Linked DNA regions of Oryzias latipes. The protein of the gene in region 2 purifies or fractionates together with the protein of the main gene of each other region. This does not show direct contact. Links are inferred from orthologs where the notes say so. Each region holds a gene or a part of one and is shown on either strand. Other genes may lie near its edges.

Region 1 (6,246 bases), on a different chromosome or scaffold from region 2:
TCAGTTCATCATTTCTGTAATGAGTTTGATAAATCTGTGGGATTATTTCTTCTACTGTATACAATGAATGCTTGAAATCAATCAATCAATCATTTCATACAAACCCAGTGTGCTCCAGGAGTCACATTGGGTAAGGGTGGTGTTGCCTTCATGCACCACCTGTTGGTGTTTGCCCCTGTACCTCCAGTTGGGCCTCATGTTCTTCTGCCCCCCAACATCCCAGAGTGTCAGAGATGTCTTCTTATCCAGGTTCAGCGTTCCAACGTTGAAGCCGACGGTTGGAGACGTGGTCACCACCTGAAGATCACCAGCCACACTCAGCCAAAAACCCCAGCATCGTGGCATTCACACTGCAGGAGACTCACCTTTCCTGTTAGCAGTCTGGCCAGCAGAGTAGACTTCCCTGAAGAGTCCAAACCCATGAGAATCACCTGCAACGACGCACACCTGTTACCGCTGGAATGGACACACTCACAGCTCCACAACCCAGAGTTCTGGTTCTGAAAAAACCCTGACAGAATGTCCCAAAGCAGGACCATACCAGGCACTGCCTTAGAGAATCCAAAAGACTTCTAAGACCAAGAGGAGGAAGAGGAGTGTACGCTGAAGGCTCAGAGATGTTTGTCCAGAAGAGGAGGCAGATCCCCCGACTACCAAAAACAATGTTGTCCTGCCAAACGGAGGACAAGTCCTCTACAGAGGACACATTTGCATTGCTGCTAGTCCGGAAGATCTGGACTTCATTTACATGAGAGGGCAGTGTGTGTGCATGTGAATATGTGCGTGCATGTGTGTGTGCGTGTGACGTGGTCTGTAGCATCCACACAGGTTAAGTTCCTCCTTGGTCCAACATCAACCTGCTATGTGTAATGAAAGAAGCCCGAAGGACAAACTGGGTTCCTGGGTGGAACTGAAAGACCTCAGCCACAAACCTCACTGAAGAACCACACCTAGAACGTCCATCTGTTCTTTATCAGTAGGTATCAGAGAACGTCTCCCGGTCTGCAGACGGAGATGTCAACAAGACACCCCCCTTCTGTTCTATAAACATACTGACGGGCTGAGCATTTCTACCTCCTCACAGGCTAAACAACTACAGACCGTGTAATGTACCTCTTCACAGTCTATGACAGGAAAACATGGCATAGGCCACGCCCCTCTCAAATGGACATTTCCCTTAAGACACCTGAGCAGTGCAGAAGCTTTAGGACAGAAGATGGACTCACCTGAGGACAGGAAGACGATCCTGCCTGACCCATGTCTGCTCGTATGAAACCGACTCACTCAGGTGTGTAAAGGTCATTCATGCTGAAAGCCAATGGGAGCAGGGAATGAGGACAGGCGGGTCACATGACATTCAGGTCTGACTGCTTTTACTGTTGTTTGTTTAACTCTAACCTGTCCGTTCTGATGGAATGCAAAGGAGATGATTTCCCTGCAGATCAGTTCTCAGACATGTCCGGGTTCCTCCAGTTCCACCTGATCCAGATCCACTAGCTTACAGCCCCAATCTAACACCATTAAAAATGGTAGCAGCATCCCACCCATCCATCCGGCCGGTTCTTATCCAGATTCCAGGAAAACAAAAACGTTCATGGATCTGTTGGTCTGCAGGGGAGAAAGGGGCGGGGCATGAAGCTTGTGGCCCCGCCCAGGATATGTTCAGCATCACAAATATGAAACAGCGTTTTTTCATCTGCTGCTTCATTTGGATAAAGGAACCCTCAGAAATTCATGTATTCTTTCCATTTGTCCTCCATCAGGAGAAAATTCTACGTGTTGAAAACACCAAAGCAGCTGTTCCACCGGGGGGGGGGGGGGGGGCCTTAGAGGGACTCCACGTTCCTGCAGGGTTCCACTGCAGAACACAGAACGAAACCAGCCAGGACCAGCTGAGAGACCTGCAAGCATGTAAACAGAGAGCTCTCAGCTCCACGCCAGCGGCCCGCCCACAACTCAGAGGAGAATGTCTGATGAACTCCTGCCGCTCTGCAGACACTAGGTCCTAGAGAACCACAGGGGGTTTGGATTTAAAGACGCTTTGAGTTTGAGAACACATCGGATGAGGGTTGGAGTGGAACTTTGAGACCAGTTAGAACAGTTAGAACCTGTATGTTCTGGTGCAGACCTTGCCCCTCCTCCTCCTCCTCTTCCTCCTCCAAGGAGGAGGAGTCTTGAGGAGGAGTCAGAGCTCCGGCATAAATGCGTTTCCCGTCCTCCCTCCCTCCTCTTTCTCCTCTTGGTCGCGGTAGAAGCAGCTCATCTTCGTCATGGGGTTCGGGGACCTGAAGTCTTCGTCTGGGCTCAAAGTTCTGAACGACTTCCTGACGGACCGGAGCTTCATCGAGGGGTGAGCGGAGCCGCCATGTTGGGTCCGCCCGGCTACCCATGCTAGCTGCTAGCTTAGCATTTGGCGCTAAACACCCGCGCAGAAAGACCGAGAACACGCGGGACGGCCCGGGATCGGTTCGGTGCTTTGACCGGCAGAAACGCGCCAGCCAAAGTCTTTGGTTCCGCCAGGGTTCTGGAGAATTCCTGCTGGCTCGTGCCGCGGGTCACATGGCTGGTTCTCTTACATGGTGCGCGCGGTGCATTGTGGGTGATCTGACCGTTACCCGGGCACAGAACCTTGTAGTTTGTCACTGGTTCCGTGGTCTTCAGAACCCAGACTTTGTTGCTTCTTTGGTCTGCAGCTGGTCCTCCCGGTTCCTGATACGAACCTTTTGGACACATGTTGATGCGGGTCCCGTAGACTTAAATCCACACCCAAGAACCAAAGTTCTTTTGTGGTCCAGGTCCAGTCCTGAGCTGCTTTGTCTGACCCGGTCCAGGTCCAGTCCTGAGCTGCTGTGTCTGGAGTTCTGTGGAGGTGGGGATCCTAAACCCGTCTGCTGGATGGAGGAGATCCCGTCTTCCACTTGTAGATGTTCTCCGGGTCTCAGGCGGTCTGGACCTGCCCCTGTGCGGGGATCAGGTGTGTTTAGACCCACGGTAACCAACGGTCTGTCTCCAGGTATGTCCCCTCTCAAGCGGACGTAGCCGTGTTCGAGGCCGTCTCGGCTCCACCCCCTGCTGACCTGTGCCACGCCCTGCGGTGGTACAACCACATCAAGTCCTACCAGGCCCAGAAGAACAGGTGAGGCGGACGTGGTGGTACGAGGCGAGGGTCCGGAGACCAAAGCTGACCTCCAACGCTGACCTCCGGCCTTCAGTCTTCCAGGTGTGAAAAAGCCTCTGGGTCAGTACGGCCCCACGGGTGTAGCGGACACCACCTCCAGTGGCCCTGCTGCCAGCAAGGATGAAGATGATGATGACATTGACCTGTTTGGCTCTGATGAAGAGGTGAGGCTGCAGTCTTAGCCAGGTCTTCATCGCTTCCATCTCACCTGTGTGATTGTGGTCCGGCAGGAGGACACGGAGGCCGCTAAGCTGAAGGAGCAGCGTCTGGCCGAGTACGCCGCTAAAAAAGCCAAGAGTAAGTCTGCACATGCTCAGTCTGCAGCAGTTCTCTGATGATGATGATGATGATCCAGTCACCATCTTTCGGCTGAGCGCCTGATGGACACCTGTTTTCACCTGACGGTCGTTGCTTACGGTCAGACGTAGCGCTCTGTTTGCCCCACTGAAGCCTCCCTTTCTGCTAGAACCCGCCCTCATCGCCAAGTCCTCCATCTTGTTGGACGTGAAGCCGTGGGACGACGAGACGGACATGGCGAAGCTGGAGGAGTGCGTGCGCAGCATCCAGATGGACGGGCTGGTGTGGGGACAGTGTAAGGAACCGATGGGTCGTTGATCAGAGTCACGGATCTGCAGAGATGATGATTTACTCACCATCTTTCGACTGAAGTCTGATGCACACTCAGAACCCTGACCCTGCAGAACCCTTAGTTCAGACCACAATCGCTGCATCGACAGAACCTTAAGAGTTTTGTTTCTGGTTCTGCAGCCAAACTGGTCCCGGTGGGTTACGGCATCAAGAAGCTGCAGATCAGCTGTGTGGTGGAAGACGATAAGGTGGGTTCCTTCCTGTTCCTCCTGGCTCCCCCCCCTCAGGTTCTAACGGCGTTCTGTCCTTTCAGGTGGGAACGGACATCCTGGAGGAGCAGATCACAGCCTTTGAGGATTACGTTCAGTCCATGGACGTGGCAGCATTCAACAAGATCTGACATGTTAATAAAATCATCAAACTGTCGGCTGCTTTCTTTGGTCTCATTAGAACTGATGTGATAACAGTTGTTCATGAAAAAGCTTGCAGTTCCCTCCGCGGCCTGTAGGCGGCAGTGCAGCTCCAACAGTTGAGTGCAGAAGAAGACGACCGGAACTAAACAAGCGCGCGCCGACACGGACCAAACAGGAGGATTAACCCGCGCTAGAGGTCCTCAAGCGATCCACAATCTGGACCGAACGTCGCTCCACGCGCACAGGTGTGTTCAGTCGGAACCAGCGATCAAAGGCTAGCGGTTAAATACAAGCTAACCATGTGACTAATGCGTGATCCAAGCGCCGTGTGGGTTTGTGTATTAAGGTTCACGCGCCTAGAACGTAGTCCAGGTGAGGGTGGGGCCTGTGAGCGGAGTTCAACCCATTTGGCGCGCAAGATCTTACCTGTCTGCGAGCGAGCCACATCTGTAGTGACGTCACAACAGGACTCAGAAGGTGGCCGTCAAACGTCAGTCCAGTTAGCCCAGGTGTTGAGAGAACCACCCGCTTCTGGTTCCAGCAGAGAACGTTGGTCTGTCCTGAGGTCCATCCAGCTGTTTCATAGGAGGTTCTCTGAACCCTGGATGAACGTTCTGAGATCTTGGTGGTTCTGATGCTGAGATCAACCGATCTGTCAGGGAGCTCCGCTTTACTGCAACAGCGGAACCCGGACCAGAAGTTCAGGAGAACAAAGGCAAACTTTCCTGTGTCAGCCCGGCCCAGGTTCAGGTTCTCCACCGCTCCGTCAGATGTTCTCCATGGTTCCGTCATGGCCTAGTTCTCTGAAACGATGGAAGTGTTCTGACGCGCTGTAGACAAGTCAGACGTTCTCCAGGTGTTTGGGACGGGTTATGAGCAGGTCTGAGCTCCAAGGAGAACCAGCAGAGTTCCGTCTGCACGTTCTAGATCATTCAGCAGAGTTCAGCAGGCTGAGGAGTAGAAATGAGTGCATCAGTGGGTTTCTGGACCCTAAAATGACTTGAATTCAGAATCTGCATAGAATGTCTTACAGTGATGATGTCATCACTGTGGGACCACATTCAGACTGACGGGTCACAGGATGCAGTCTGTGGCGTCCACAGGCGTCCACACCGGGTCGACTAAGGCAGATTTATGGACGGATGAGGATTTCTGCAGAAATGAGCAGATTACCACGAAGCTCCCCAAAAACATGAAGAATTGACAGTGGGAGCCTCTGAAAGCTCTGTCTGTGTTCCTGAAACTAAGTGAACTTCTAATTCATTCACGGAGGAACTGGATCCGAGTGATTCAGGGTCAGAGTGTAACACGGTCCTGTGCTAGAACCGCCTGATCACGCCTGTAACAGTGTTCTAGAAAGCCCAAACCGTCACTCAAACCTCCATGGAGCTCTGCAAAGACGCCCAGCTGTCAATCACCAGGCTGGTCGCCACTGTTCACTTGTGTGAACGACCCGATGGCGGCGGCATCCTGACACGCTTAGGGTCCCGTACCGCTGAGCGTTTATGTGAAGAACCAGCTGGTTCTGTCGTAGAGAACGCGGCTTTTCCCTCAGAACCGTTCTGCGGGGCGTGACTAACGTAGAGTTGCAGCTGAGCTGACTGATGGCCTCTCTGGTTCTGCTCATGGCATCTGTGTTCTCAGGCTCATGGACGCCCTCACCTGGTTGCTGTTGGAAACAGCATGGCAGACTGGACACGCCCATCACTGACAGCCCCGCCTTCAGGTGAGCGTTTGTGGAGCTCCACTCCCCGATCTGCTGACAGAGGGACGTCCCACACCTGGATTCTTGACCCACCGTTTGTGTTTCAGAGCCACCCTCAGGATGTGCGACTCCTCCGATGACGGTAACCAGGCAGACACGAGCGCCGCCATCCCCTCAGCCCCATCTTTCTCTGACTGTGCTGTGTTACCTTCAGGTGATCCCGGGAAGACGGACTTTGGACACAGGTGAGAAGATCCACAGGAAGTCCCTGATGGACTAGTCCGTGGGTCCAGAAGACTCCCCTCCAAGACTCTTTAGTAGATCCAACAACGCCCCCCCCTACTAAAATGATCCGCTGACCC
Region 2 (5,745 bases):
ACTTTCTGTTATTCATTTCAATTGTAGAAGTCTACCAAGAAATTTTGATAAAATTAAATCTTTTTTGGACACATTTAAAGGAAAATTTAAAGTAATTGCTCTGTCAGAGACATGGATAATTAAAGGGAAGGAAAATAATTTGAAAGTTGAAGGTTATGATTTGTATTTCAATAGCAGAACAAATAGGATTGGAGGGGGAGTTGCCCTTTATATTGACAACGGTTTAAAATGGAAACCGGTAAAATGCATGACATCTACTATAGATGATTTAATGGAAAGTGTTGCTGTGGAAATAGAGTTACAAAAAAACAAAAATATGACTGTTGGATGTGTATATAGGAAACCAGGATCAAAAATTGAAACTTTTAAGGAAAATTTAGAAGATATGTTAAGTAATCTAAATCACCATAAACAATTAATAATTTGTGGAGACTTCAATATAGATCTCATAAAGCTAGATTCACATTTACAAACATCTGATTTTTTCGATTCATTATATAGTAAAGGATTGTATCCTTTGATTACAAAGCCTAGCAGAATAACAACAAGTAGTGCAACTTTAATAGACAACATTTTTACCAATATTTTGGAAACTCAAAGAAATTGTGGGTTAGTAATTAATGACATAAGCGATCACTTGCCTGTATTTGCTATATTTGACTTCAGGTTGCAAAAAAAGTCAGCAGAAATCCACCAAATATACAAAAGAATAAGGAATGATGAAACTCTGAACGCTTTCAGAAATGATCTCATAAATCAAGACTGGAATGAAATTTATACAAATGATGTAAACGGTGCATATGAGGCTTTTCTGAAATGTTATTTAGATCTTTACAATAGACACTGTCCAGAAGTTCTAAGTAGACCTAAATTTAAAAATAACAGAAAACCCTGGATAACAAAGGGCCTACAGAATGCTTGTAAAAAGAAAAACAAACCCTATAAGGACTTTTTAAACTTAAGAACAGCAGCAGCTGAAAAACGTTATAAGGTTTACAAAAACAAGTTAACAAATGTATTGAGACAAGCTGAAAAGAAATATTATCATAGGATTCTGTATGAAAATAAACATAACTTAAAGGCTACGTGGAATATTCTGAATAAGGTCATAGGAAATAAGTCAGGATCAATAGAACTACCTCACTTCTTCCTTAAAGACAATGTGGTCATCAAAAAGCAAGAGGACATGGCAAATGAATTCAATTCATTTTTTGTAAATATAGGACCCAATTTAGCAGAAAATATTACATGCAATTTACAATCAAAAGATATTATTGAAAATAAAAATTGGATTTCCCATTCTATGTATTTATCTGATGTGACTGAAAATGACATTTTGACTACAGTATACAAACTAAAAAACAAGACCTCAAAGGACAGGGACGGGATTGACATGAAATTAATAAAAATGACCATAGATTGTGTTGTAAAACCACTACATCATATCTTTAATCTTTCACTTAAATTAGGAATTTTTCCTGAGAAGATGAAAATAGCTAAAGTTATTCCTTTTTTTAAAAATGGAGACAGACATACTTTTAATAATTACAGACCAGTATCATTACTTTCTCAATTTTCTAAAGTTTTAGAAAAGTTGTTTGTTAACAAACTAGACAGCTTTATTGAAAAAAATAAATTGTTAAGTGAGAATCAGTTTGGGTTTCGTTCTAATAGGTCTACAGATTTGGCTATAATGAAAATAGTTGAAGAAATTTCAACAGCAATTGACAAAAAGTAATACACAATAGGAGTTTTCATGGATTTAAAGAAGGCTTTTGACACCATAGATCATTCTATCTTGATTTCTAAATTATATGCATATGGGGTTAGAGGAATCGCCCTGAACTGGATCACCAGTTATTTAAAAAACAGACTACAATATGTACAGTTTGGAGGTAAGAAGTCTGATCTTATGAATATTATTTGTGGACTCCCACAAGGCTCAATTGTAGGACCTAAACTTTTTATTTTATATATAAATGATATCTGTGATATTTCTAAGTTGTTACAGTTTGTTTTATTTGCTGATGATACTAATTTTTTCTGTTCTGGGGATAATCTGAAAACCTTAGCTAAAAGTATTGAAAAGGAAATGATAAAACTCAAAATGTGGTTTGACTACAATAAACTATCTTTGAATCTAACAAAAACAAAGTTTATGGTATTTGGTAATAAAAACAGAACAGAAGTGACTTTGTCCATTGACAACATAAAAATAGAACAGGTGTCTGAATTTAAATTTTTAGGGGTTATGTTGGACGACAAATTAACATGGAAATCTCATATATTTTATGTAAAAAATAAAGTAGCCAAGAGCCTTTTTGTTCTGAACAAATCTAAATATGTTTTACCATGTCATATTATGCACATGTTATATTGCTCTTTGGTTTTACCTTATTTTACATATTGTATTGAAGTGTGGGGAAATACATATGAAACTTATATAATGCCCTTAATTCTACTACAGAAGAGAGCTATTCGAATTATTCACAAAGCTAATTTTAGAGATCACACAAATGAACTTTTTATTAAGTCAGGCTTATTAAAACTTAAACATTTAATTGAATTGCGGACCTTATTAGTTATGTTTAAAACCAGAAACAGAGATTTACCAGAAGACCTACAAAAGCTTTTTATTTTTACCACAGGAGATGAAAATCATAGGAGAAAATTTGATTTCAAACAACAGATTGCTCGAACAACATTAAAGCAAAAGTGTTTGTCTATAGCAGGGGTAAAAATGTGGAATTCCCAGGAGAATCAGTTAAAAAGTTGTCAAAATATTATTAAATTTAAACGCATGTATAAAGCTAAACAAATTAGTTTGTACAAACTTGACTGTTGAATGCAATTTTTGGAATGTATGTATTAAATGAATGGAATGTATTTACTGTGTAGTGGAACTGTACATTGTGAAATCTGAGCACAGGTGATGGTGTGAGAAATGTAAATGTAATGTTTAAAAGGGAGCAGATAATTATAAGAATTGTGTTCTTCAATTCTGCTCCCTTCCAATCATGAAAATATTCAATATGTAAGAGAAACATGTAAACATTTGAACATCAATTTTCATGAAAGGAACAAATAAATAAATGAATGAATGAAAAAATGAATGAATGAACATCAATTGAGTTGAGTGCTGTGATTGAATATGCTTTGTTAAGCTGCATTGGGAGGAGGGCTGAGAAACAGTTATGTATGTATGTGCGGGTGTGTATGTTTTGTGTTGTTTATATAGAGTATTTGTATAATAATTTGTAACTTGAGTTGTTTGTTACTTAACTTTACTTTGTTGGCTTTTCTTTTTTTATAAATATAAAAATGTTGTTATTTTTTTTATAAATATTACATCTCAAAAATGAGAAGTGGCATTTTAAGAGGCCAATAATTCCATTGCTCAAATGTTTAAATAAAGAAATATTCATTTATTTAATAGAACCACTTTCTTTTTTAATAGTTTTTTTTTCATTATACTAAATAATAATTCCACAATAAACCCGAAACTGTGCAAAATAACGATTCTGAGAGGGTTATTTAGTCCTTTTTACTAAAAAAAAATAAAATAAAAACTGTTTTAATGTTTTATAACAAGGATGTGAAGTGTACAGACAAAATACAAATATATCAATCCAACATCAAAGAAAAAACAAGGTCAAAAGATGATTGGCTCACGCTCCACTGTGTGGAGATTACTATGGCTTAAAGTCCACTCATACATTCATAAATGTTAGCTTCAGGGGACAGAATGTCCTCCTATAGAATGGATTTTATTGCTGTTTATTCTCCAAAGGATTGTATCTTCTGGAATAGGTGTGTCTGAAGAGTCTGGGTCTTACCTCATTAGGCCAACCGAAGATGGAGAAAGGAAAAATGCCAGACGAGAACCAAGTGTCCAGAACATCCTCGTCTGTAACACAGGAACCAAAGTTACCCAATCTGAACGTAGAAACCATACAGAGTACCGTAGACTTGTTTTAGCGATGCTCGTCTGTGCTTTGGCAGAAACTGAAGTCATCCAACACCTCACCGCCACACAAGCAAATCCTACCCTGTCTGAGAGTTATTTTGTCCGCAGACACGTTGAAGCGTTTTGCCGCTTTTTCCCTGGCCTCCACCTCGGACCGTCCGCTTACCCAGTAATGGCCGTCCATGTCCTGGAGGACATTCATTAAAGATGTATGGAAAAAGTTATGGCCACTCAAGCAGTGCTTAATCTTTCTAGAACATTGCAGATTTTGAGAGGAGCTGAAGACACCGGCTTGCCTCTCCAGCTTTCACAGAAGGATCGCTGACGGTGACGAAATAGGCGGGAATGCGGTGACCCCACCACAGCTGTCGGGAGATGCACCAGTCTCTGAAAACAAACAGGAATTCAGAGGCCAAAATATCTCATTAGCAACAAACCCCCAAAAATGTGCTTCAAGAAAACGAGGCAGCATGTTCACACAGGATCAACTGGTCCACATCAAGACTTAAAGACCCCCTTTGATGAAAATTGTGTTTTTGGTGTTTTTAACATGTTCTGGTTGCATTTTTCTGATTATGATGGAGGACATATATGAAGGAAATTATTTATGAGTATTTCTTTTTTCAAATTGCTGCAAATCAAGAGCAGACAAAAGAAATGCTGTTTAAAGAAAGAGCGCCTTTGTGACATAGGAAATATGCTGGGGAGGCCACAAGCTCCTGCTCCATAACAAGGAGGAGAAAGGGGGCGGGACTGCTCCACGCCAACGGTCCTGCCCACAATTTAAAGGCAACTGCAGAAACTACGCCCTAGGAAACGACACGGGTTTTTTGATTTTGCCAAAAAAATGTTGGCATAATCATGATTAAAGGACCACTGGGAACGCTCTGAAGATAGATCAAAAGATGACTGAAGTAGGACTTTAAATCCATTAAATTGGACTTCATATGAGCAGGAAATTAGAAAAAACTGTTTATTTAAAAGCTTAACATTGACAGACCTGATGTTGTCCATCCAGTTGAACCAGGTCTTGAGGTGGTGATCAGGGATGATTTTGAGCCTTCCCTCTCTGACGGCGTCCGCAGCCTCCCTGCCCATGTCTCTGCAGCTCACGTACCACTGCGGCTTCAGCAGAGGCTCCACGATGTCTTTAGAGCGACTAACAGAGGAAGGAAGGAGAATTTTAGAAAGTCACCTCAAATACAAAAAAATCCCAAGATCTGTGTTCCGCTTAACAAATACCAACCTTACCTGCAAACTGGGACGACCATGGGGTTGTCTTTGATCTCTTTAAAGTGGCCTCTGTCCTTGAGAGCCTGCAGCACCGCTTTTCTGGCCTCAAAACGTTTCATGCCCTGAAATGCGGAGAGGAAAAGTAAAAAAAAAAAGAGAAAGAAACTAGCAGAAAAAACATTAAAGAAAGAGGGGGGAAAGGAGGCAAGGCAATAACTGTATATTATACCAGGAAGGGAGGGGGCACATTGATGAGCAGGCCGTTCTCATCCAAGATGTTGATGAAGGCCAGGCTGTGCCTCTCTCCAACCTCATAATCGTTATGGTCATGTGCTGGGGTGATTTTGACGGCACCTAAACAGAAAATGGTGAACAAGTTGAGAAATATAACTAATGAGAAAAAAGGTCCAACATGCAACAGAACCCCCACCTCACACGTTTCTGGACGGGTTCTTACCTGTTCCAAAGCTCATGTCCACAAAGTCATCCAAGACTATTGGCATCTTCCGATCGCAGAAGGGATGCAGCACCATTTTCCCCTTCAG

What was found.
Region 1: the proteins of vars (region 2) and eef1b2 fractionate together in Homo sapiens (co-fractionation; 3 studies listed by BioGRID, with this or other methods). This does not show direct contact. The link is inferred for Oryzias latipes from reciprocal best matches to the Homo sapiens genes VARS1 and EEF1B2.

What each region holds. Positions count from the first base shown.
Region 1 is NC_019860.2:25,081,024-25,087,269, reverse strand, and holds eef1b2 (elongation factor 1-beta), read left to right. Parts: upstream 1-2,146; 5' UTR 2,147-2,270; coding exon 2,271-2,350; intron 2,351-3,013; coding exon 3,014-3,136; intron 3,137-3,212; coding exon 3,213-3,342; intron 3,343-3,408; coding exon 3,409-3,475; intron 3,476-3,644; coding exon 3,645-3,770; intron 3,771-3,946; coding exon 3,947-4,014; intron 4,015-4,079; coding exon 4,080-4,166; 3' UTR 4,167-4,192; downstream 4,193-6,246. Other genes in the region: ADP-ribosylation factor-like protein 11, read right to left, coding at 182-297, 366-431, 1,227-1,259; zdbf2 (DBF4-type zinc finger-containing protein 2), read left to right, coding at 6,005-6,129. UniProt on the Homo sapiens protein: Catalytic subunit of the guanine nucleotide exchange factor (GEF) (eEF1B subcomplex) of the eukaryotic elongation factor 1 complex (eEF1).
Region 2 is NC_019874.2:20,777,593-20,783,337, reverse strand, and holds part of vars (valine--tRNA ligase), read right to left. Parts: coding exon 5,658-5,745; intron 5,555-5,657; coding exon 5,430-5,554; intron 5,323-5,429; coding exon 5,219-5,322; intron 5,127-5,218; coding exon 4,968-5,126; intron 4,355-4,967; coding exon 4,264-4,354; intron 4,155-4,263; coding exon 4,049-4,154; intron 3,908-4,048; coding exon 3,837-3,907; intron 1-3,836. UniProt on the Homo sapiens protein: Catalyzes the attachment of valine to tRNA(Val).